4 linked regions of the Caenorhabditis elegans genome follow. The protein of the gene in region 1 binds, or shares a complex with, the protein of each later gene. Each region holds a gene or a part of one and is shown on either strand. Other genes may lie near its edges. The genes, in order: exos-4.1, crn-3, dis-3 and exos-2.

Region 1 (4,150 bases):
AACGAACTACATTATGGTTGTGTGGGTATTTACAGAAACAGCATATAATAAAAATCGTATCGCAAAGGAGAATAAAATGACCGGCGATAAAGCTTAAAATATTTAAATAGATTATGAAAATGACGTTATGCATCACTGTCCCGGGGTTGAGGTTTCGGGCTTTGCGCAGACTTCAGAAGACGATCGAGTTGGGCCTGGGTGGCTGCGGCATCCATCGGCTGGGAAACAGTGGAAGGAGAGCTCACCTTGCTCGGCTTGTCCTGAAATATGGAAATTCACATAGAAAAAAGATCTAAGATTGATTTACCTTATTGAGCAAGTTGGAGAAGAAATTGGCGAGTGGACTGTCCTTATCGGTAGGCTCTTCTTGCATAGTCCTCGGCTTGGGAGCGGCCGTAGTGGTTGAAGTTGCCAGGATGTCCATCAACTTCTTCAAGAAAGCCTGATCTTCCTCGGCTTCGATGAGCTGCTCTTTTGCGACAGGTCTAAGCTTATCGCGAGTCGGCTCTAAAGCTGAATCCACATCCGGAATAGACTCCTGAAATTAATCATGAACTCGGATTCTCCAATTACTTATGTAAAACTTACACGAATAATATCGATCTTTTTCTCTCCGTCCCATCCAGCTGGAACAAAGATCGACTCTCTTTCAATCACTTGAGCTGCACTGGTAAAAGCCGTGCCAAAAGATCGATGTACAATGTACTTTTGGAGGAGCTGAATATTTTTAGTCTCTTTTGCGCTGGTGAAGACAAGAGTCGCTCCGAGACTGAGGCAGAATTTTCTCAGTTGAATGCTGATCTTCGCGAATTGAGCATCTGTGAATTCCTTTCCTAAAACTTTTGCAAACATCATTTATTTTATTTTTCTTTAAATAATATACCCAGGTCAGATTTGGTAATGACCACCATGAACGTGACTCCACAGTTCTCAGTAAGAGTTCCTTGGTCGAGAGGAAGAAGGTTGTGCTCATCGGCGAAACTTCCAACTACGGAAGTGCTCATTTGTGATTGAACCGGATCCACATACTCTTGCCACATTTTTTCTTCTGGAAAAAATTATTTTAAATTGCATGAAGTAAAGAGTTTATAAGCTTACGTTGAGATCTACCGGCTTTCAAGTCTTCTTTGGTGAAATGTTTCTGAGCTTGCTCGGTGCACACATTTGCCCATCTTTTCAAGGAATGAATGAGATCTGAATAATTAAATACTTATTTATTTGAATATATAATACTTACTCGGATTATCAATGCTCGCGGTAAGAATGAAGATAGCTTCCGCGGGAGTTGCTGGAAGAGCATGTTTCAGAAGGGAAGCACACGCCGCATTCCCATCCAAAGACCAGACAGGGATTTGAAGCAACTCTGATGGATTGAGATTGGCTCCGGCTGTTCCCAGTTGATATGCATAACTGGCGTCACGAGCATCATTTTGCACGTGGAGCACACGATATCCAAGTAGTGATTTTGGCTTCACGGTTCTATCAGATTTGTCCAGACGGGAAAGAAGAGACGACTTTCCGCTTCGGTTGTCCCCCAGAACAATCACCGTGCTGCCTTGATTCGTGTTTGTCTTTTTGGAAGCAAGGAGCTCTCGCCTGAAATATGATTTTCAAATAGTATATTTCGTAATAATACAACAAATACCAAATTCCGACTTCTTCGTCTGTCGAAGAATACAAAACCGGAAGCACAGCATTTGCTGTATCATCAAACTCCAGTGGTTGCGCAGTTGGTGGCATTTTCTCGAAGAAAATCAATTTTTTTTTAAAATTTAATTTAAATGAAATTAAACTCAAGTCCCTCGGAGAAGTTCGTCTGCGTCTCCGCGACAAGTACACTCTCTATGCTTCGTGGAAAGATATTGAAATCATGAAAAGCGCTGCGCCTTTAAACTTCCGCAAACACCGTGACGGTAAAATACACAGAAACTTTTTGTTTTTTTTGTTGCATTTTGCATGCAAATTTTTTCTCTTTATTTAATTTTTTACTCATTTTCTTAACTTCAAATTTCAGATTATTCTCATTTCGGGGCGTTGACTGTTTTATGCTTTATGAATACTATTCAAAATATTCAACAGGTGCTCAGAAAAAAGGAAAATCCTCTCCCGCGCATTTATGTCTTTAATTTCAGCTTCGTGAATTTCTAACCGTCTACAACACTCTCAGCGAACGTTGTTTCAACGCCTGCGCTCGTGACTACACCACATCAACACTCACAAAGGACGAAGGGTCCTGTGTCAGTCAATGTAAGATTTATTGTATTGTATAAACACGATTTTGTAATCAAAATTTCAGGTATTGACAAGCAGATGCTAGTGAACCGTCGGTTTATGCTAGTATTCGCAGAACAAGCACCAAAAGCACTTTTCAAGCAAGGAGAGCAATCGCCAACCGAAGCAATCAAATCCGCTAAGCCAGAGCCAGCGGTCCCAGCTCCAGAAGCCACTCCTGTTGAAACTACTCCAGTTATTGAAGAAAATAAGTGAGATTTTCCATAATTTCTTTTAAAAAATCACGAATAATCTTTTGCAGACAATGAACATCATCTCTGAACATGGTTTCCGTATTGACGGCCGCCGTCCCGCTCAGATTCGTAACATTAACACTCGTCTTGGCTTGAACAGAAATGCGGAGGGAAGCTGTTATCTGGAACATGGTAATACCAAGGTTGGTTTTTTTTTAAGTTTTGAATTTAATTTCAAGTTACATTATTCTCTTTTCAGGTTCTTTGTGCAGTTTATGGTCCGTATGAAGGCAAATCGTCAAAAAGAATCGAAGATAAATGTGCCATTGTTTGTCAGTATAGTGCAACAAAGTTTTCGGGACTTGAAAGAAAAAATCGTACACGTGGAGATCGAAAATCAACTGAAATCAGCAGACTTCTTGAGAAAGCATTCGAATCAGTTATTCTGACGGAAGCATTTCCTCGATCACAACTTGATATTTTCTGTGAAGTAATCCAAGGAGACGGCTCCAACCTGGCCGCCTGTGTCAATGCAACTTCTTTGGCTCTTGCTGATGCAGGAATCCCAATGAAAGGCATCGCATCTGCAGCGACGTGTGGTGTTGTCGATGGAAAACCAATTGTTGATCTTACTTCTAGAGAAGAAACTGATCTCCTTCCCAGAGTTACTGTATGTTTAGGCTGAAAAATTGTCTAATTTAATGAATTTTGTAATGAGACTTCTCAAAAATTGCCGTAATTTCAATATTCCGGGAACCGAAATCATATTTTGGTTGCTATTCTAAAAAAAAAAATGTCCAAAATTTTAAGTTATTTTCCGAAAAATCGGGAAAAAACACAAACTTTCGATTTTTCGTTAAAAAATAATTGCTTAAAATTTTCAGCTCGCCACAATCTGCGGTCGTGACGAAGTGATTCTCGTGGAACTTCAAAATCGTCTTCACATTGATCATCTTTCCACAGTCATGGATGCAGCGAAAGCCACGTGTGCTGACGTGTACGAATGTCTCGCAGTAGTTGCTCAGCAACATCTGAAAGCTTGTGCTCCGATTCTAGGCAATTAGCTGTTCTTTTTTTCTTATTCATTGTTGTTTTGAGTTGTTATTCCTTTTTTTTTAAACCCATTTTTTGCAGTCGATAAATCAGTTTTTTCAAATTTAATCTTAGAAATTTTGTAAAATTTTATATGTTTCCGTCTCATTTTCGTACTTTTCTTGTTCAAATCTTGATATTTTTTTAAAAAAATTGCAAATATCTAGAATGTGGAGCCGTGGATTACCCACGCTTTGCAGGACGATTCCGTGTCGTCAGTTTTCCGTCGCAGCTCAAAGTGGAGCTGGTCCTGCAGAAATTGATGGTAGGTGCAGATTTTTTTTGCTCTAAATGGCCAGAATTTTATTAAAATTGTCAAAAAAATTTCAAAAAATAGCTAATTTCCGCTAGAATCTCCAACTTGACCAACTTTAGAGCGGCCGGAAAATAATTTTAATTCGATTATTGTGCTACTTTGGTTTATTTTACGTTATTTCGTAAATTTAGGGTAATTTTAAGCAAATTTGGCTTTAAATGTACCAATTTTTACGAAAAAACATGTGATAAATGACCAAAATAAGACAAAAATTTAATAAAAGGGAAATTTGGCAAAATATTTGAAAAATTTTGCGAAATGTGAGATTTTAGCTAAA
Region 2 (6,872 bases), on another chromosome or scaffold:
GCATTCCATTGTCAAGTAGAGCAAAACAAGCTCCATTTATCGCTACAGCTCCCATACTTCCATCATCCTGAATTCCATGTACTGTGACAGAAATTGTTGTGTGGGGAAACAATTCGAGATTGATTGCATTGGATAGAGTAGAATGAATGATATTGTTCAGCTGAAAAAAGAATTATTCCAAAAGTAATTTCTACAAAAACCCCTACCACATTGAACTTGTTATCTCCACAATTTGCTCTATAACTAATATCCAGAGTCATAGCCTCATCACTTGCTTTCGAAGCGTGAACATCTCCAGGACCACTGCATGAAGCCCAAATACACGTGGCACCCTGGGAGAAGCATGCCGAGCCATCCGCGTTTTTGAGGAACGAGAGCTCACAACGCATTTCACGAAGTCTGCCGGCCATTTGGGGATATCTGAAATCAAAATTAATCACAAAAATGAATTTTGTAGAAAATATAACTGAAATTGGTGGAAAACCAAATTGAATTAAAAATAAATAAATAAAAAGATTTCAAAAACAGTTTTCTTTAATTTCAAAGCAAAAGAAAAAGCACAACAACAAAAAGTAAAATAACAATGGTAATGGGATGGGATGTAACAATTTAATCATTTTTTGTAGTTGATGGTTCCTTGTCGATTCGATGATTTTTTCATAGCCATATTCTTCTTTGTCTTGTTCTTCAATCGATATTTTTGATGGAATGGATCGAAATCGGCGTTGTTGTCTCGAACAGGTTTTTCTGGAAATAATTTATTAGGAATTTGATTTCGAGACTTTTTTGAGAGCTATATAATTGGGTACGGTATTATCCAAATTTTGAGCCAGAAAACGTTTTTTTTTTGCAAATTTGCGGTTCTTTTTGGAATTTAACGAAAAATTGATTTTTTGGTGTTTTTTTTTGGTATTTTGAATTTTTTTTTTTGGGTTTTTTAATAGCTTTTATTGGCACTTCGACGAATAACATTGATTTTTTTTTGGGTTTTTTTGTTGGAATTCAACAAAAATTGAAATATTTCTTGTATTTTGACGAAAAATTGATTTTTTTGTTTTTTTTTTCAGACCAACAAAAATATTTTTTGAAAAACCAATACATTTTCACATATTCACGATTTTTTTGAAAAATAAATTCAAGCATCAACTTTTTTTGGTTTTTGTTCGTTTTTCGCAAATTCGTAAATTTCAATTTTGGTTTTTTGTTCAAAAATATTTTTTGTCCCAGCCCTGGTGTGCTCCTTTAAAGAGTACTGTAATTTCAAACTTTTGTTGCTGCGGAATTTTTTTTAGTTTTAAATTTATTTATTAAAAAACTAAAATAAAACCGAAGAAAATTTCCCAGTAACGAAAATTTGAAACTACAGTACTCTTCAAAGGCGCACACCATTTTGCAAGTTGTCGCGACCTGGTACCGTATTTTTAGCCTTAAATCTCGCGTCTGGATAATTCAAAGGAATATAACTTACCAAATGCACTACTATCAGCTTTTTCATAATCAAAATCTTCAACGGGAGCATCATCATCAGATTTTTTCTTTTTTGGATCTGAACTACTCGACGACTCGCCGAGCACAACAGAAACATCTATATTTCGTCGAGCAGCATCTCTCTTTCTTTTCATTGCCTTCTTTGACAGTAGCTGGTCGTCGGTAAAACGAGATGGATCGAAGATTTGAGGTTCCGATGAAGATTCTTCCATTGGTGAAGGTTCTGGATCTTTCGGCTTGTTCGGATCATCTGGGACCAGCTTCAGTGTATCAACGTTTAGAAGCTGAAAATTATCTTATTAAAACCAAGGATGTCATCGGAATTTTTAAATATATTTTTTTTCATTTATTTTTTTTTTGAGAAAATCGAAAAAAAAGAAGTTTTATTTTCTGATTTTTTCAGAGAAAATCGAAAAAAAATTCATTTTTATTTATTTTTTCAGAGAAAATTAAAAAAAGATTTTAGTGATTTTTTCAGATAATTTTTTTTTAAAGTTTTTTTACTAAATTTTTTTCAGAGAAAATCGAAAAAAAAAAATTTTCTATCAAATCTGTACGTTTTTCCGCCGAAAATTTTTTTTTAAGAATAAAGCAATCTCTGAATTCCGTATGAGCAATACCGATTTTGGAATTTTCTTTTCAGACATTTTTTTTCGGTTTTTCCCAAAAAAAAAAACGATTTTTTTCAGATTTCATTATATCTACCAACCTTCGCATCGAATTCAGGTTTTCTATTAATCGGAGCATCATGATGTGAGAACATAGTCTTCGGTAGATCACCTTCCTCCAATTTCTTTCTCTCAGCCTCTTTTCTCTCTTCTTCTTCTTGCTTTTCTTTTGTAATCATCATCATTTGATAACATTCAAATGGAGTTACAAATTTGTCAAGTTCATTCAACAACTTTTTAACTTTCTGATTATCCGATTTCTTTCCTTTTTCCACAACAATCATAGTTTCCACACTTGGAATTTCAGCCGTTTGGAGCACTGATAACAATGATTCTTTATGATCTTTCAGCTCGATATCCATTCCTTCATCTGTCTTATCAATATAAATTTCTCCGCGTTCTTCGTCAAATCTAGTGTGTGAAAAGTCGATTTTTGATTTTAAAACTGAAGTGATATGATCCATAGTATCGTTCATTACACCTCGTGCTTCCTGTGCATCATTTCTTTCTTTCGCCGACAATCCCACTTTCTCAAGCTTCACATCTCTGGCCTCCACAATTATTCTGTAATTTTATAATTAGAATATTTATTATGAGGTCTTTTGAGTCCCGGAGCTTATATTTACGAAATTTTCATTTTTCGGAAAATGCTGGGACTCCCACAATTCTCAAAACTTACTTCAAAATATCACCAGTTCGCTGTTTCACAAAGTACGGTAACGGGTTACAACACGCGTAGATACCTCCAACATCTCGTGGTAATGTCTCAGAAAGTGATAGCATCATATGATTTGGAAGTACAAAATGTGGGCTCTCATCTTCTGCTCTAGCTACTACATCTCTCCATTTGAAAAGATGTGTAAGTGCATAGTCCTGTCGAGTATTCAGTGTGAATCGGAATTTTATTTCCGTCAAATATCCTTTCGGATTGAACACTGGTTTCTTGTATACTTTTATGCAAAGATCGCTAGACTCTGAGTAGACGTTGGCCAAATCCTTGGTATCTTGTTTCAGAAGTTGCTCTCGGAGCATATCATAACTATACAAAAGGTAATGAGTATCCTCTCTCGCGTAGTTTATCATCGCATTTCGTAGAGGCCGTGCTCTCCAGTCAGCCAGTTGATATTGTTTGTCCAGAACAACGTCGGCAAATCGGAGAGTGAGGTAGGCAAGACTGAATTTAGGATACTTCAGCTTTTTCATGGCAACATATGTATCAAATAAATTAACAACATGAACTCCATAATCCCTTTGTAGCCAGAGAACATCACTGTCAGAACCGTGAAAAACTTTGAGAATACGTGGATTTGCAAATGGCTCATTGAGCATTCCAACATGATCCCATATTGGGAAGGGATCAATGATAAAGTCTTCATCTCTTGTTGAAATTTGAATAAGGCAGGTCAATCCAAGATACGATCGCATTTGGTGATGCTCCAAGTCGACTGCGAACTCTTTTACAGAATTCAAAGTTTTCGTTAATGCTTCAAGCTTCTCCTTAGTATCAATCATTGTCAATGGAGTATCCTTCAATGCTGTGAATTTTAAACACTCTGCAGATTTCAGCTGAGCTTCTGGAACTTTGAAGTGAAGAATTTCAGCGATATATGGATGTTCCTCTTCAGTTTCTGTTTCAGCACTTATCCAATCTCTTCTTCCAGACTCATCGTCATCGTGGAGAACAATACCCGTTCGTTTTTCAATGGCATGATGTTTAACAGTCAATTTAGAAGAAAAAGGAGCTTGTGAGTTGTCCGAACTGATGTTATACGTCTTCTGTGGTTTTTCCAACACAACCATCTGAGCAGCTTCTTCTCTTCGTTCTCTAAACTTCTCCGCCAAAACCGTTCCAATATTCGCTGAAAACGTTCTCATTGCCGCTGAAACTTCTGCTTCGGTTTTTCGATTTGTTGGGGCGGCTTTTGTAATGAATTCTGGAACTTTGACTATCTCATCTAGCTCGGCTTTTTTCAGCGCTTCATGGAGAGTTGCTGCACGTTCTGCAATGTTGTCCTGAGCCTCGATAACACATTCTGTGTAATGTTCGACTGATGAACCGACATCTGGAACTCGCATTGCACATCCTATTGACTTGGTGACTTTGTTCATGCTGAAAATATGGAATTTCAAGTTTTTTGTTTTTAAATGAAATTTTCTCTGAACATGGCCCTGCCAAGAATGTCGTTTTCCGATTTTTTCGATGTTTTTAACTTAAAATAGAAAAGCCAAAAATGTTCGTTTTTTTTTTCGATTTTCCTAAAACTCAAAAAAAAAAGTTCAAAAAATTCACCATAAAATATGATTTATTTCAAATAATTTAGTTTATATTGATGAGAAAAAACATGACAATTTCTTCTAAAAAGAAGCAAAAATACCAAATTTTAAAGCTAATTTTTTAAAAATCTCGAAATAGCGGAAAATCGAAAAAACGGAAAATTTTCTATTGAAAAAAAATCGAAAATTTTTCGTTTTTCGATTTTTTGAAATTTTTTGTAGTTTTTTTGTAGTTTTTGGCGAATAATTTTTTTTAAAGTTTTTTTCCAAAATAACTTCAAAATTTAAAACTTAAAATGCATGTTTGATGAAAATATTTAAGCTTTTTGAAATAAAGTTTCTTTTTTTTTGTGTTTCTGGAGAAAAAAAAATGTTTTTTGGTGTTTTTGGCTTAAAAAAATGTCGATTAAATTTTTTTTTAATTTTCCGGAGCTTTTTCGGATTCAGACGCTCAACTCACAGTGCATTCAATCTCTGCTCGGATCGCTTCATAAACGTGTTGAATGTCGGATACGAGTTGTAGAGCTCATAATCCGCACCAGCTTTCGGCAAACCATTTGATTCACGAACAAGCCCGGCGCCATTTCTCATAATTTCTTCGACTTTTTTCCTCATCGCTAACGTTCTTTTTCTTATCATTTCCTCTTCTTCCTCAGATTGCTTCTGCTCTTCATCGGGCATTGATTCTTCTCCTGACATTCTGTAAATTTTCTTTGAACTTGAGAAACGAAAGTTTAGAAAAAAATCAAGAAAAATAATAAATCGTTGACTTGAAACCAAGAAAAGAAAAACAATAAATGAGAATAAATTGTAAAAAAAATATTTCTTGGTAATAAATAATATTAACGATAAATACAAATTTTAAAAATTTCCAGGCAATAAATAAGAAGAATAAATTAAATTTAAAGAAGGTGACCTAAAAGAAAAAACCCGAAATTAACATGAAATCGGAATCCCTGAATCTGAATTCCGTTCAGACAAAGTGAACAATAAATATTTAATACATGTTTTACAAATTTGATTTTCGATATAAAGTGCATGTCGTCATGACATTATGTTTGGCAGAAAGGAATGGAACATAAAATGCACGAAGAAGCCCATGGAATCCTGTTGATTTGGAGACATCGATGAATGGAAGCGAATCCACTGGTTTCCAGTTATCTTCCTAAAAATAGATATGAATTTACAATTATATATTAAGAACATTTCTACAGGAAGGAGTAGTGTGAGTATGCTTGAAATAATCCAAAATTGTCAAAAACGAAAAAAAATGGGAAAGAATGAAAATTTGAATTTAAAAATTTGATTTCCTCAAACAGGGAATTTAGCCAAAATTGTAGAATCGCGTTTTCAATTCTTTTCCATTTTTTTTTTGTTTTTCTTTTGTAGTTTTGTCGCTGAATTTGAGATGATTTTTTTTTTGAAATAAAATCTCCATTTACGTTTCTCCATATTCAAAACCCCTACCATTTTCCTGAAATCAGGTTCTCTATCCGACTGTGGCATATCAACATCAACCACATAATCGCATGAATCTAAATCCACATATCTCGATATTTCTTCTTGATTCAGATTATTCATTTCTGTTGGTATATGACGTGTAACTTCCACCAACTTGTCCGATTTTAAGAATGGTTTAGGTAAAAGTCCGCGGAATTCACTTTGAATAAATCGCATTTCCACTTTTTTCCCATCAGAAACTGTTTGTGGAATGAAGAACGATGAAGGGAAGCGGTGCCATTCTTTTCCAACGCATACACGAATTGGATCCTGAACAACTGGGAGTTTTCGAAAAAATAAAAACATTGAAATTTATAAAACTCTTACATGGAAATTTTTGAAATTCGTCCGATTCGTCAGCTCTGCGTTCAGAGATCGATAAATCTCAACGTGAGATCCATAATTGTTATGAATTGAGTACGTCCTTGATGCCGAGAGAATTGCAAAGCACAAAATGAAGAGAATGCTGAGAATATTATCCATTCCTAATTTCTTGAGACACAGTCGATTCGTGGCATCCAATGCAAGAGCAGCGAAGAAAGCAATGAATGGATAAATTGGGAATAGGAAACGTTCTTCTTTATGAGCTTGACTTCCAAAAATCAAAAGCCATGCGGCAGTGGTGACAGCCAATAGGATGATTGGTGCAAATCTTTGATAGAGTGCCACGTTTCTATCCTGAGACATCCAGACTTTTGTGAAATAGGCAAGAGACAGAGGAAAGCCAAATGGAGCAGCAAATATGACGATATTCCAGTTGTTGAAGAGATTTTTGATGTAGAAAGAGAGCGGTTCTTCTCCGTAAAGTGATGGACCAGGACCACTGACAACGTTGTAGAGGAAGATGTTTAATGGGGCCTTAAAGGATTTAATTAACTTAGAATTTAAATTTTAGAAATTAAATTTACTTACCAAAACAGTCTTTCCAAAATAATGACTATC
Region 3 (4,664 bases), 3.0 Mb from region 1:
CTAAATGAAAATCAGTTTCTAGGTCGCTCTGTTGTATAAAATATATTTCTTCTTTGAATTTGAATATAACTTTTTTTTTTGTAATATTTTTTAAATTTTAAACCTTTGGTGTTCTGGACTCCCAATCCATATCAAAGCGAACTTCACTCGATGCCAACGTCAATGCTCCATTTCCAGTTCTTCTCGCATTCAAAACTTTCGACAATTTCATCAATCCACGTAATCCCAATGCCACGTCATTCTGCTCTTTTGGATCGTCAATAATCTCTTGTGCCTTCTCATAAGTCAATGCAGCTTTTGATTTAATTAGAGATTTGTGATATTTAACTGATTGTATATCAGCACTAGAAGTCATTGTCCAAATACACGAAAATGCATAACGCTCTTCTTCTCCGCGAAGTGAGCACAAATTGGAACTGAGCAGACATGGAAGCATATCGATACGACGATCACAAAGGTATACTGTAGTTCCACGTAATGCTGCTTCATCGTCGATTGCGGTTCCTAAACGTAGGAAATTTTGGTTCTTTTTTTGAAAATAAATGAGGTTTTATTCGAACCTCAAAGGACAAACATTTTTTTTAGTAAAACTTGAATTTTTAAATAATTTCAGTATATTTACCTGGTCTAACAAAATGCGTGACATCTGCAATATGAACTCCAACTTCGAAAAGATCCTCTCCAATTTGTTTACAGTGTAATGCGTCGTCAATATCTGTACATCCAAGTGGATCAACTGAACAAATTGTTAAATCTCTCAAATCAACACGTGGTAGAGGGCCGCGGTTTTCAGTGAGATCTGGTTCCCATTCTTCACGTGGTAGACAATCAAGAACAGATTCTGAGAATGGAGCATGTGGAATATCATGTTCGAGAAGGAGAACCTCATTTTCAGTTTCACGGGATCCCATCTCTCCGATTGATCTGAAAACAACAGTCATTCCGTTAAAATATTTCAAGATTTTCTGAAATTTCACATACCTGACGTAATGTCCAAGTGGATACTTGGAATCTCTTGGCCAGTGATCAATAGCCACCACAATTCTCTGCTGTGATAAAGTTTCAGCCTGTTCCGTCTCGATTCGAATTCTTGGAATAAGTCGTTCAGCTGGACAGAACAAGTGTCTTCTGGCTCCTTTCACTGTACTTGGCAGCAACATTCCACAATATTCACGCCAATTTCTTTTGATAATTCCAACAACTTTTGCAGTTGAAACAGTCATTTTCTTCGACTTTTTAGCTTTTGGCTCATCGTTCTCGTCATCATTCTCCTCGTCTTCATTTCCCATGTCATCTGCAGTTTTAACATATTCTTCAACGTCACGGAGTCGAATTTTCTTCTCTGGAGCAGTCCATTGGTCTTCTGGCAAAAGTTGAACTGCGACGGTATCTCCATTGACGGCACGATTGCAATTATTTCCTAAAATTCGAAATAAAAATTTTATTATTCAGAGAATTGGAATTTTTGGAAAAATTTCACCTTTTTTAAAAATATAATTTCAGAGTTGTTTCGCTCAAAATGACCGAAAACCACCTAATTTCGTTATAAAAAAGTTTTTTTAAAATTCTCAGCAAAAAGTAATGACTTGTGTGAAAAATTTGGTTGGTTTTCGAAAATAAATATTTCAACTAAATTCAAGCACCTGTGATGAACCAAGATGTTAACTGATCATCAATAATAACAGTAGCTTCGCGATAATTTTCTCTTGAAACACTGAAATTTCCTCTTTTGATCGTTCCACTGGCAATTCCCTCCATAATTCTATCATGCGATAGATATTCATCGAAAATTTGTTTCTCATTTCCATTTCCAGAGCTTTCATACGCAGCCATTTGATCCAAAAGTGCTTGTTTTCCTGGATCCTCCAAATTTTGTATGTATTCCTGAAAATTTGGAGATTTTTTCTTTTTCTACGGGGTTACTGGATCATTTTTCAAACTTTATTGTACTTTATTATACAATTTTTGATTAAGGATCATGATTTTTAGTTGAATAAAAGTTTAGTTACGGCGAAAATATGTTAAAGAGGTGTATATTTTAGGGTTTTTGGCTGAAATAGTCTGAAACTAGCTCGGAACGACAGAATTTCATTATGAGTCTTAAGAAATCAAAAATTTTCTTTTAACAAAATTTGGCTCTTTTTCGAAATTTCGCCAGTTTCAGAAAAGATCCACAGAGTTTTGAACTTTTCGACTATTAACCTTTAAATACATCACGTGTTGGTAGTGATTTTCCATTCTTTTTTTCGAATCTTCATCAAAAACTAAGACAACAGGAGCCACGTTATGCTTCTGCCAATGAGTTTTCAAGTAAAGAGCTGTTGAAAGTAGAAGCTCTTCGCCACGACTCAAATCCTCAAATTTCGATGATTCGGAGAAGGTCTCGCAGTGAAATTCGTTCATGAACACGTGAAATCTGTCTTTCGCATCTTCATAACACAAAGAATTCATTTTCTTGTAGGCTGGTACAGCTTTTGCTTTGACTCCTTCCCATACAGTCTGGGTTACGATGAGATCTCTGAAAATTAAATATAATTTATTATTTTACAGAGTTTTTAATTGAAACTAGATGTTTGTTACAATCCCGACAACTTCTAAAAACTGAATTTGGAGCAACAAATTAAGAATTTAATAATTGGACAGTAGAACCATCTACATTTAAATGATTCCGCTGTAATTTTAATTCATTACCTCAATAAAGACGAATCAAACAAATCGTAGAATCTGATTAATGATGTGGAATCCACAATCAGCGCGTGCCTTCCAACTTTCGCATTTCTTACGGGATTTTCAATTTTTAACAGCGGATTTGTGCCGAAATCCTTGCAGGTTCCACATTGAGCAAGTCCACATGAAAGATCATTTCGTAGATATCTTTCTTCGGCTCTCTGCAAAATTTTAATTGGGTTAGGTGATTTCGGAGAGGTTTTCTCACTTTATAGACTTTCCCCGAGCGATTTTGGAAGTAAGTCGTGTGCAAAGCGACGGAATGAATTCCACTTTGTTTGACGTTCAAATCCATACCTTCAAATAATGAAAATACGTGTGAAAAACAAATAAAATCGCACGAATCAGGTGAAAAATGAAGGAAAAACTATTTTATTCGAAGAAAAACTCAGTGTACATTTACGGTGAACAACACGCGCGAGTGGAACATCGGAGTGTCGTAGGCACTACGAAAACGAACACTTCGAACAACACTGCCATCGCAGCTGCGAGGAAAAATGAAATGAAAAGGAAGAATATATCTAAATAGAGTATGGCTAAAATCATGAAAACGGAAGTTTAAACATCTAAAATAGATAATCGGGTAGGAAACATGATTATCTAGGGCCTCATAACCTTAAAAAATAATGCTCAAAACGTTTTTAGATTTTTGAAAATTTTTCAGTCATAGATTTGGTAAATTGCCAAACTTTTTTGTCTTACAAAATTTAATGCGGATGAAACTAAATAATCGCCACTTTTTGATTTTTTTTCATGTATGTAGACACAGCACTGTCCTCAAGGATGAAATCTGACCAGACTTTAAAATGTTAAATTTGTCAAGATGCAAAATATTTATTGTTTTAATGTTAATTTTTGGAAGCAATAAGAACAATAAAAACATTAAGCGAAATATAGAATCTCATTATTGAAAAAAAACGGGTAAGAACATGATAATGAAATACATATCTCGATGGACTTCCATAAGATGTTTAAGAATCGGTTACTGTAGAATTTGGAGTTGAAGAATTGGTTCTACCCAGATAAATTGAAATGTCTTCAGATCCATTAAACTTTGTATGTGATCTTGATCTTCTTCGTTCCCGTATTCTAAAATTAAAATACCTCCAATTTGGATATTTTTCTTCATTATATAATTTTTATCGAAAATTCGAAAATTTACTAAACCCAGCATAGAATTCAATACCAAGGCTTTCATCTAGAGAAAATTTGAATTCGGAATTTCAAATAGAAAAATACATAGCAGAGCTGAGACATTATATACCAGGGATCTTTCCTTTTTCGAAAATTCGAAAATTTACTCGAACCAATCAATAAAGTATTTTTCTCTCATATCAGCAAAAAAAGTTGTGATCGGTTCACTTGTTAATTTCTTTGATTTGTAAGAAAAATACACCCTCCTCGACCTTTACGGAGCAAAACAGCTTTCAGGTTTTGGAGAGATGGGCTGGGTTAGTAGTATGGTTGGGTAGTCTTCTGAACTGAATGACTACTGGAAGATTAAGGTAGGATTACTATAGTTCCAAACGATTTACAATAAATCCCGGATGCTTATGTTAAGGGCATCGATGGAACACAAAACTTGTTCGCTTGAGTATTAATATATATTCAATTTGCAGATTAAAACAGAAAAACAGAACATATACTTGAAAAAAGTTTATTGTTAAGAAACCCAGTTCACACATCCTATGGATTGTACTCGATTGGAAGGTTCTTGCGACGAACCATACCGTCTCCCTGGAACCATTCACGACGGAATTGCTTGGCAGCTCCATCCGGGGTGTTGGTCCACTCAACAGTGATACGGTCGTTGTTGGTATCCTCTTGTCCGAAGGCGAAAGCATCGCAGGAAACAGCAAGAAGCACAGCTTCCTTTGGATCGAGAACTCCACATGGTGGATCAACTCCAAGTCTCTTCATATTGGTGGTCTTGATAC
Region 4 (4,129 bases), 6.7 Mb from region 1:
TTAATCCATAATATGATCGAAAGTTATTCACCATCGAGAATTAGAAGTTCGAATTAACTTCACATTGTTTTCTATGAAACGTTCATCCGATCCTCGTTTACCATTCGATCCTTTGTTATATTTTCCCATTTTTACTGTGCCCAACACCTCATATGCATCCTTTTAGGTTAGAAGTCTGCTAATTAGCAGCATAATTTTTGAGCTTTCACTGAATGTCTGTCCCATGCCTGCTCTCTCTTTTCCTTTTTGTTGTTTTCCTCTGGTCAATGTTTCAATTCTTCCTGGTTTTTTTTGAATCACAATAAACACTTTCCAGAAAATCGTCTCGATTCTCACTTGGTGGATTGAAAAGCGGATAGTGTGAATCGAAGTATATTCACTGAAATTGTTCGGTCATTAAGTTAGAATGTGGAGTTCAATTGAAACAATTCCTAGATCAAAAAAATTTCTGTGCGACCTTGGGTTTGCAAAGATTACGGGTCGATCGTTTAATTTCAGGGTATGGACCATTTCTTTCGAAACTTTCAGATTTTGTATCGCAGCTAATATCATCCGAAAAAGTAAAAAGTTTTATTTAATTGAAATGGTAAATAAGAAACTCAACAAGAAATAACAGCAACAAAAAAGGTAAATTTTAAATAGGGAGAGATCATTCAAAACAATTAGAATTACTTCTGCTGTTGAAGTTCCTGTAGAAGCCGTGCAGCAATCAGGTAGGCGAGTCGAGAAGACGTGTCTTGCTCGGCGAGCTCTTTGATCTGAAATTATTTTTCTAATTTTTTAAAACTGAAGAAACAATCGATACTTCATAAGGCTGACTCATTTCATAGCATGTTGTCAGTGAATTGAGGTAGATCGAGATGGAATAATCACGAAGAAGACGAACACAGGCAGCGATTCTGACCATAGTTACGCGTACGTCGGGAGGTACAATCTGAAATTTATTTTATTGCGAAAAAAGCCAAATTTTTTTGTTTTTCTTTTCGATTATGATGATCACGAGTATGATGAATAAATTATAAGGTCTCGTCAATCATTGGAATTATTATAATTTCTCGTTGTTGAGTCACCAAATATGTGCGCTAATTGTTATTTTCGATTCATTTTTCTCAAGAATCACTATCACACCTGAAACTCGTGAACATGTGATCCATCCTCTTCAAGTGTGGTCTCCGGCAACGACGGCGTGACCCACACACTTCCGTTGCAGCCAATAATCACAGCCATTCCGTAGGGTAACGTGTGAAAATGTTTCTTGGACTTTTTGATCAAATGTGGAGGAACCTGCAAAAAAAAGAAATTAATTCCGTGACTTCCCACTCATTTTGTGGATTTTTTTGTCGCTTTATTTATTTTGGCAGCATAAACAAAAAAGAAATATTGCTTTGAACGAGATGTCGCATAAGAATGAGAAAACTCAACACTTTGAAAAGGCGGAGGATATTCGTACAAAAGTGCTCGATTCAATGATCTACCGACTCGATGAACGTGCAAATATGGTTATCACGGAGGTTAGCTTTTCATTAATTTTTTTTGAAATAGAAAATTATTATTAAAGAGCCCAATTCCCGAATGGCGTGCTTATACACAATGGATTCTCATTGCTGCGTTGCTTGTAATTTTTTGTATTCTTCGTTATGGCGTCGAGACTGTTGAACTGCATCCAACTGCAAAGAAGGATCAAGATCCTGTGATTGAGTACAGAGATCGAGAATTGAATAAAACTTCTGAGGCTTTTAGAGCAAGACGCCGTACGTGAGCTAATTGGAATCAATTGGATGATGAATTTAAAGAAATATAACAACTTTCCGAACTATTATTTAAAAATTTATAATTGCGTTTTCTTAAGATTTTATAAAATATTACCTTAATCAATATTCCTTGTTGCAATTTTCCGTACTTATTATTTCTTGTGTGTAGCATAAGTGTTCCGTCGTGCTGGACTTGTTGGACTTCTGCACAGATCAGTTCTCCGTTTTTCAAGAATTCGCTCATTTTCTCCTCATCTTCTACATCTTTTCTGCGAAAGTCTCCTCCTGGCAGGAGAACTGAACCTAGTGGAAGATTTGCATGAAGACGAGATGCCACATCACACTGAAAAACAATTATCGTTATATTTTTCACTTAAAAATTTGAAACCTTCCACCGTTTTGCTTGAACCTCCACGACACGGGCAACTACAACATCTCCGACTTCACCAGCATATCGTTGTTTAATAGTTTTAACCATCAACAGTCGATTTAATTGTTGAACGACTCCAGAGAGAGAACTGACGATTTCTCCGTCGCGAACGTAAGTTCCATGTCCTCTGAAAATCTTAATTTTTTCATTTTTCAAAAAGATATAACAGTATTTTACAATATACATACCTCATAAACTGTTGCGGTGCATCACAAACTGAATGTCCTGGAATAACAATTTTTGTCTCATCAATATCATTTCTTGCTTCGGACATTGATAACATCATCCATGGTGATACGAGGGGTGGACCGGTGACTTCGAAACTCATTTTTTAAATTTTTTTTGTCTGCAAATAACCAAATTTAAATAAACTTAAATTAAACAAAGAAACTGAAAAAAGCTTTCATTCGAAATGAAAATAAAAATAATTATTTCCAACGACACTCCGAAATGACGGAAAGCGTGCTGTTTATCGTAAACCCACACGTCACTCAATTGGCGCCTATTCAAATGTTGATTTTCGACCATAAAAGTGCGAGCCAATTGAGCGTGCAAATTTAATTGTTTCTGCTAAACCAATGACGATGAAAACCCGAAATTGAAATAAAAATAAGGTTCGACACGAAGCCATTGTCTGACTTTTTATAAAGGTGTCATTGGAAGGAAGTGTGAGTTGAATGGGACACCTATAATTTCGACTTGCATGCGAACGGGAAAAATACAACAAAAGAGGATACGTAGAAATATATTGGAGAAAAACTGAGTATTTAAAACAGAAGTAAAAATCGTAAAGGAAAAATTTTCAAAACTTTGGTGGTTTATTGTGCGATTTTTAAATATTTCCTAGATTCCGATTTTGCGGGTTTATGTACTCTTTTTTATTTAGGTTGACTGTAAAAGTATTCTTCTCCATCTAAAAATTAAAAAAAAAACATTTTCAGACGGTAGACGGTCATGTGGAACTCTTAGAAAAAAGTTTTGAAATTTTGAAAAAATTGAAAAAAAATCAATGTTTCTGAAAAAACATTTATAAAGTTACCATTTTCTGATTAACAATGTTCGAATTTTCGAATTGGTATTTCTTATTTTGATTGAGAGTTTTATGAGAAGTATTGAAACATATTTTTGATATTATTCTTAAATTTCGTTAAAAGTTATTAAAAATGCATATGTACCCGGAATATTGTAATTGAGCCAGTATTTGAACAACTTCTCAAGAACTTCAACTAAACATTCGGTTAATTTCAGGAAAATCAATATTATTTCTTCTGTTCTATTCATATTTCAGATTGAAATCTTTCACAGAACAGTGCAAATTTCCTAAAAAGAATGTGTCGCAAAAGAAAGGTCCACATATTTTTCTAGCAGTTGTACACTTGCTCCATATTCGAAGCTCATTTTTTATTTTTTGTTTTATATCAAAAATTGTTAACTGACAACTAATTGACTATTTACTTTTCTAAAATTTCCCATAAAAATAGTAGTAGGAGTCTTACAAAAGCTCCCAGAAAAATTTGTAAAAAATCGAAAAAAAAAAACACTGTTTCTGATACACTATTTACAAAATTGTGGTTCATCGAAAACAATGTTTTCAAAATATTGTATCTAATACATCGAGGCATTGATTAATTTTAGAAGTTATAACTTGGTTGTCTTTAAATTTTTGAACAACTGTCAACTGGCAACTTATTGATTATTTAATTTTCTAAAATTTATCAATTTTACAGTTTGTAAACTGTTTTGAATGAATTGAGATATGAGCTGTTAAAGTATGATAGTCAGGTGCAAGTACTTATTTATTTTGTCATTTCATTTTTTCGTAGTTTTAAAATCGCTAACCAATGTCTAGAAAACTTTATACAAAATTATCCATAATTTGCATTATCAGAGCCCTTAATTTCCCACAAAAATTCGGCGAAAAATGTGGGTGGACGGACGGGTGTTTTTC

What was found.
Region 2: exos-4.1 (region 1) and crn-3 share a complex: the UniProt entries of both Caenorhabditis elegans proteins name them as parts of the RNA exosome complex.
Region 3: exos-4.1 (region 1) and dis-3 share a complex: the UniProt entries of both Caenorhabditis elegans proteins name them as parts of the RNA exosome complex.
Region 4: exos-4.1 (region 1) and exos-2 share a complex: the UniProt entries of both Caenorhabditis elegans proteins name them as parts of the RNA exosome complex.

Annotation. Positions count from the first base shown.
Region 1 is NC_003282.8:13,096,991-13,101,140, forward strand, and holds exos-4.1 (Putative exosome complex component RRP41), read left to right. Parts: upstream 1-2,014; 5' UTR 2,015-2,052; coding exon of another isoform or gene 2,053-2,079; intron 2,080-2,132; coding exon of another isoform or gene 2,133-2,247; intron 2,248-2,296; coding exon of another isoform or gene 2,297-2,483; intron 2,484-2,533; coding exon of another isoform or gene 2,534-2,536; coding exon 2,537-2,668; exon of another isoform or gene 2,669-2,724; coding exon 2,725-3,135; intron 3,136-3,349; coding exon 3,350-3,529; 3' UTR 3,530-3,616; downstream 3,617-4,150. Other genes in the region: dli-1 (Dynein light intermediate chain), read right to left, coding at 126-260, 308-538, 589-839, 884-1,048, 1,099-1,194, 1,238-1,596, 1,646-1,740; tin-9.2 (Mitochondrial import inner membrane translocase subunit Tim10B), read left to right, coding at 2,053-2,079, 2,133-2,247, 2,297-2,483, 2,534-2,540; fask-1 (RAP domain-containing protein), read left to right, coding at 3,726-3,822. UniProt on the Caenorhabditis elegans protein: Non-catalytic component of the RNA exosome complex which has 3'->5' exoribonuclease activity and participates in a multitude of cellular RNA processing and degradation events.
Region 2 is NC_003280.10:10,586,300-10,593,171, reverse strand, and holds crn-3 (Exosome complex component 10 homolog), read right to left. Parts: upstream 5,131-6,872; 5' UTR 5,130-5,130; coding exon 4,891-5,129; intron 4,267-4,890; coding exon 2,836-4,266; intron 2,721-2,835; coding exon 2,198-2,720; intron 1,773-2,197; coding exon 1,469-1,772; intron 748-1,468; coding exon 614-747; 3' UTR 520-613; downstream 1-519. Other genes in the region: crn-5 (Exosome complex component RRP46 homolog), read right to left, coding at 1-160, 207-410; Alpha-1,2-mannosyltransferase algn-9, read right to left, coding at 5,440-5,595, 5,898-6,200, 6,258-6,788, 6,843-6,872. UniProt on the Caenorhabditis elegans protein: Catalytic component of the RNA exosome complex which has 3'->5' exoribonuclease activity and participates in a multitude of cellular RNA processing and degradation events. Involved in apoptotic DNA degradation.
Region 3 is NC_003282.8:10,095,566-10,100,229, reverse strand, and holds the start of dis-3 (putative exosome complex exonuclease RRP44), read right to left. Parts: upstream 3,029-4,664; 5' UTR 3,023-3,028; coding exon 2,936-3,022; intron 2,889-2,935; coding exon 2,692-2,888; intron 2,519-2,691; coding exon 2,203-2,518; intron 1,885-2,202; coding exon 1,644-1,884; intron 1,421-1,643; coding exon 982-1,420; intron 925-981; coding exon 623-924; intron 505-622; coding exon 104-504; intron 1-103. Other genes in the region: msp-36 (Major sperm protein 10/36/56/76), read right to left, coding at 4,414-4,664. UniProt on the Caenorhabditis elegans protein: Putative catalytic component of the RNA exosome complex which has 3'->5' exoribonuclease activity and participates in a multitude of cellular RNA processing and degradation events. Has both 3'-5' exonuclease and endonuclease activities.
Region 4 is NC_003282.8:6,413,883-6,418,011, reverse strand, and holds exos-2 (Exosome complex component RRP4 homolog), read right to left. Parts: upstream 2,535-4,129; 5' UTR 2,510-2,534; coding exon 2,370-2,509; intron 2,309-2,369; coding exon 2,140-2,308; intron 2,095-2,139; coding exon 1,867-2,094; exon of another isoform or gene 1,760-1,866; coding exon of another isoform or gene 1,559-1,759; intron 1,512-1,558; coding exon of another isoform or gene 1,395-1,511; exon of another isoform or gene 1,359-1,394; intron 1,285-1,358; coding exon 1,129-1,284; intron 935-1,128; coding exon 806-934; intron 759-805; coding exon 669-758; 3' UTR 552-668; downstream 1-551. Other genes in the region: Y73B6BL.22 (Nitrogen regulatory IIA protein), read left to right, coding at 1,395-1,511, 1,559-1,759. UniProt on the Caenorhabditis elegans protein: Non-catalytic component of the RNA exosome complex which has 3'->5' exoribonuclease activity and participates in a multitude of cellular RNA processing and degradation events. Involved in regulation of antisense ribosomal siRNA production.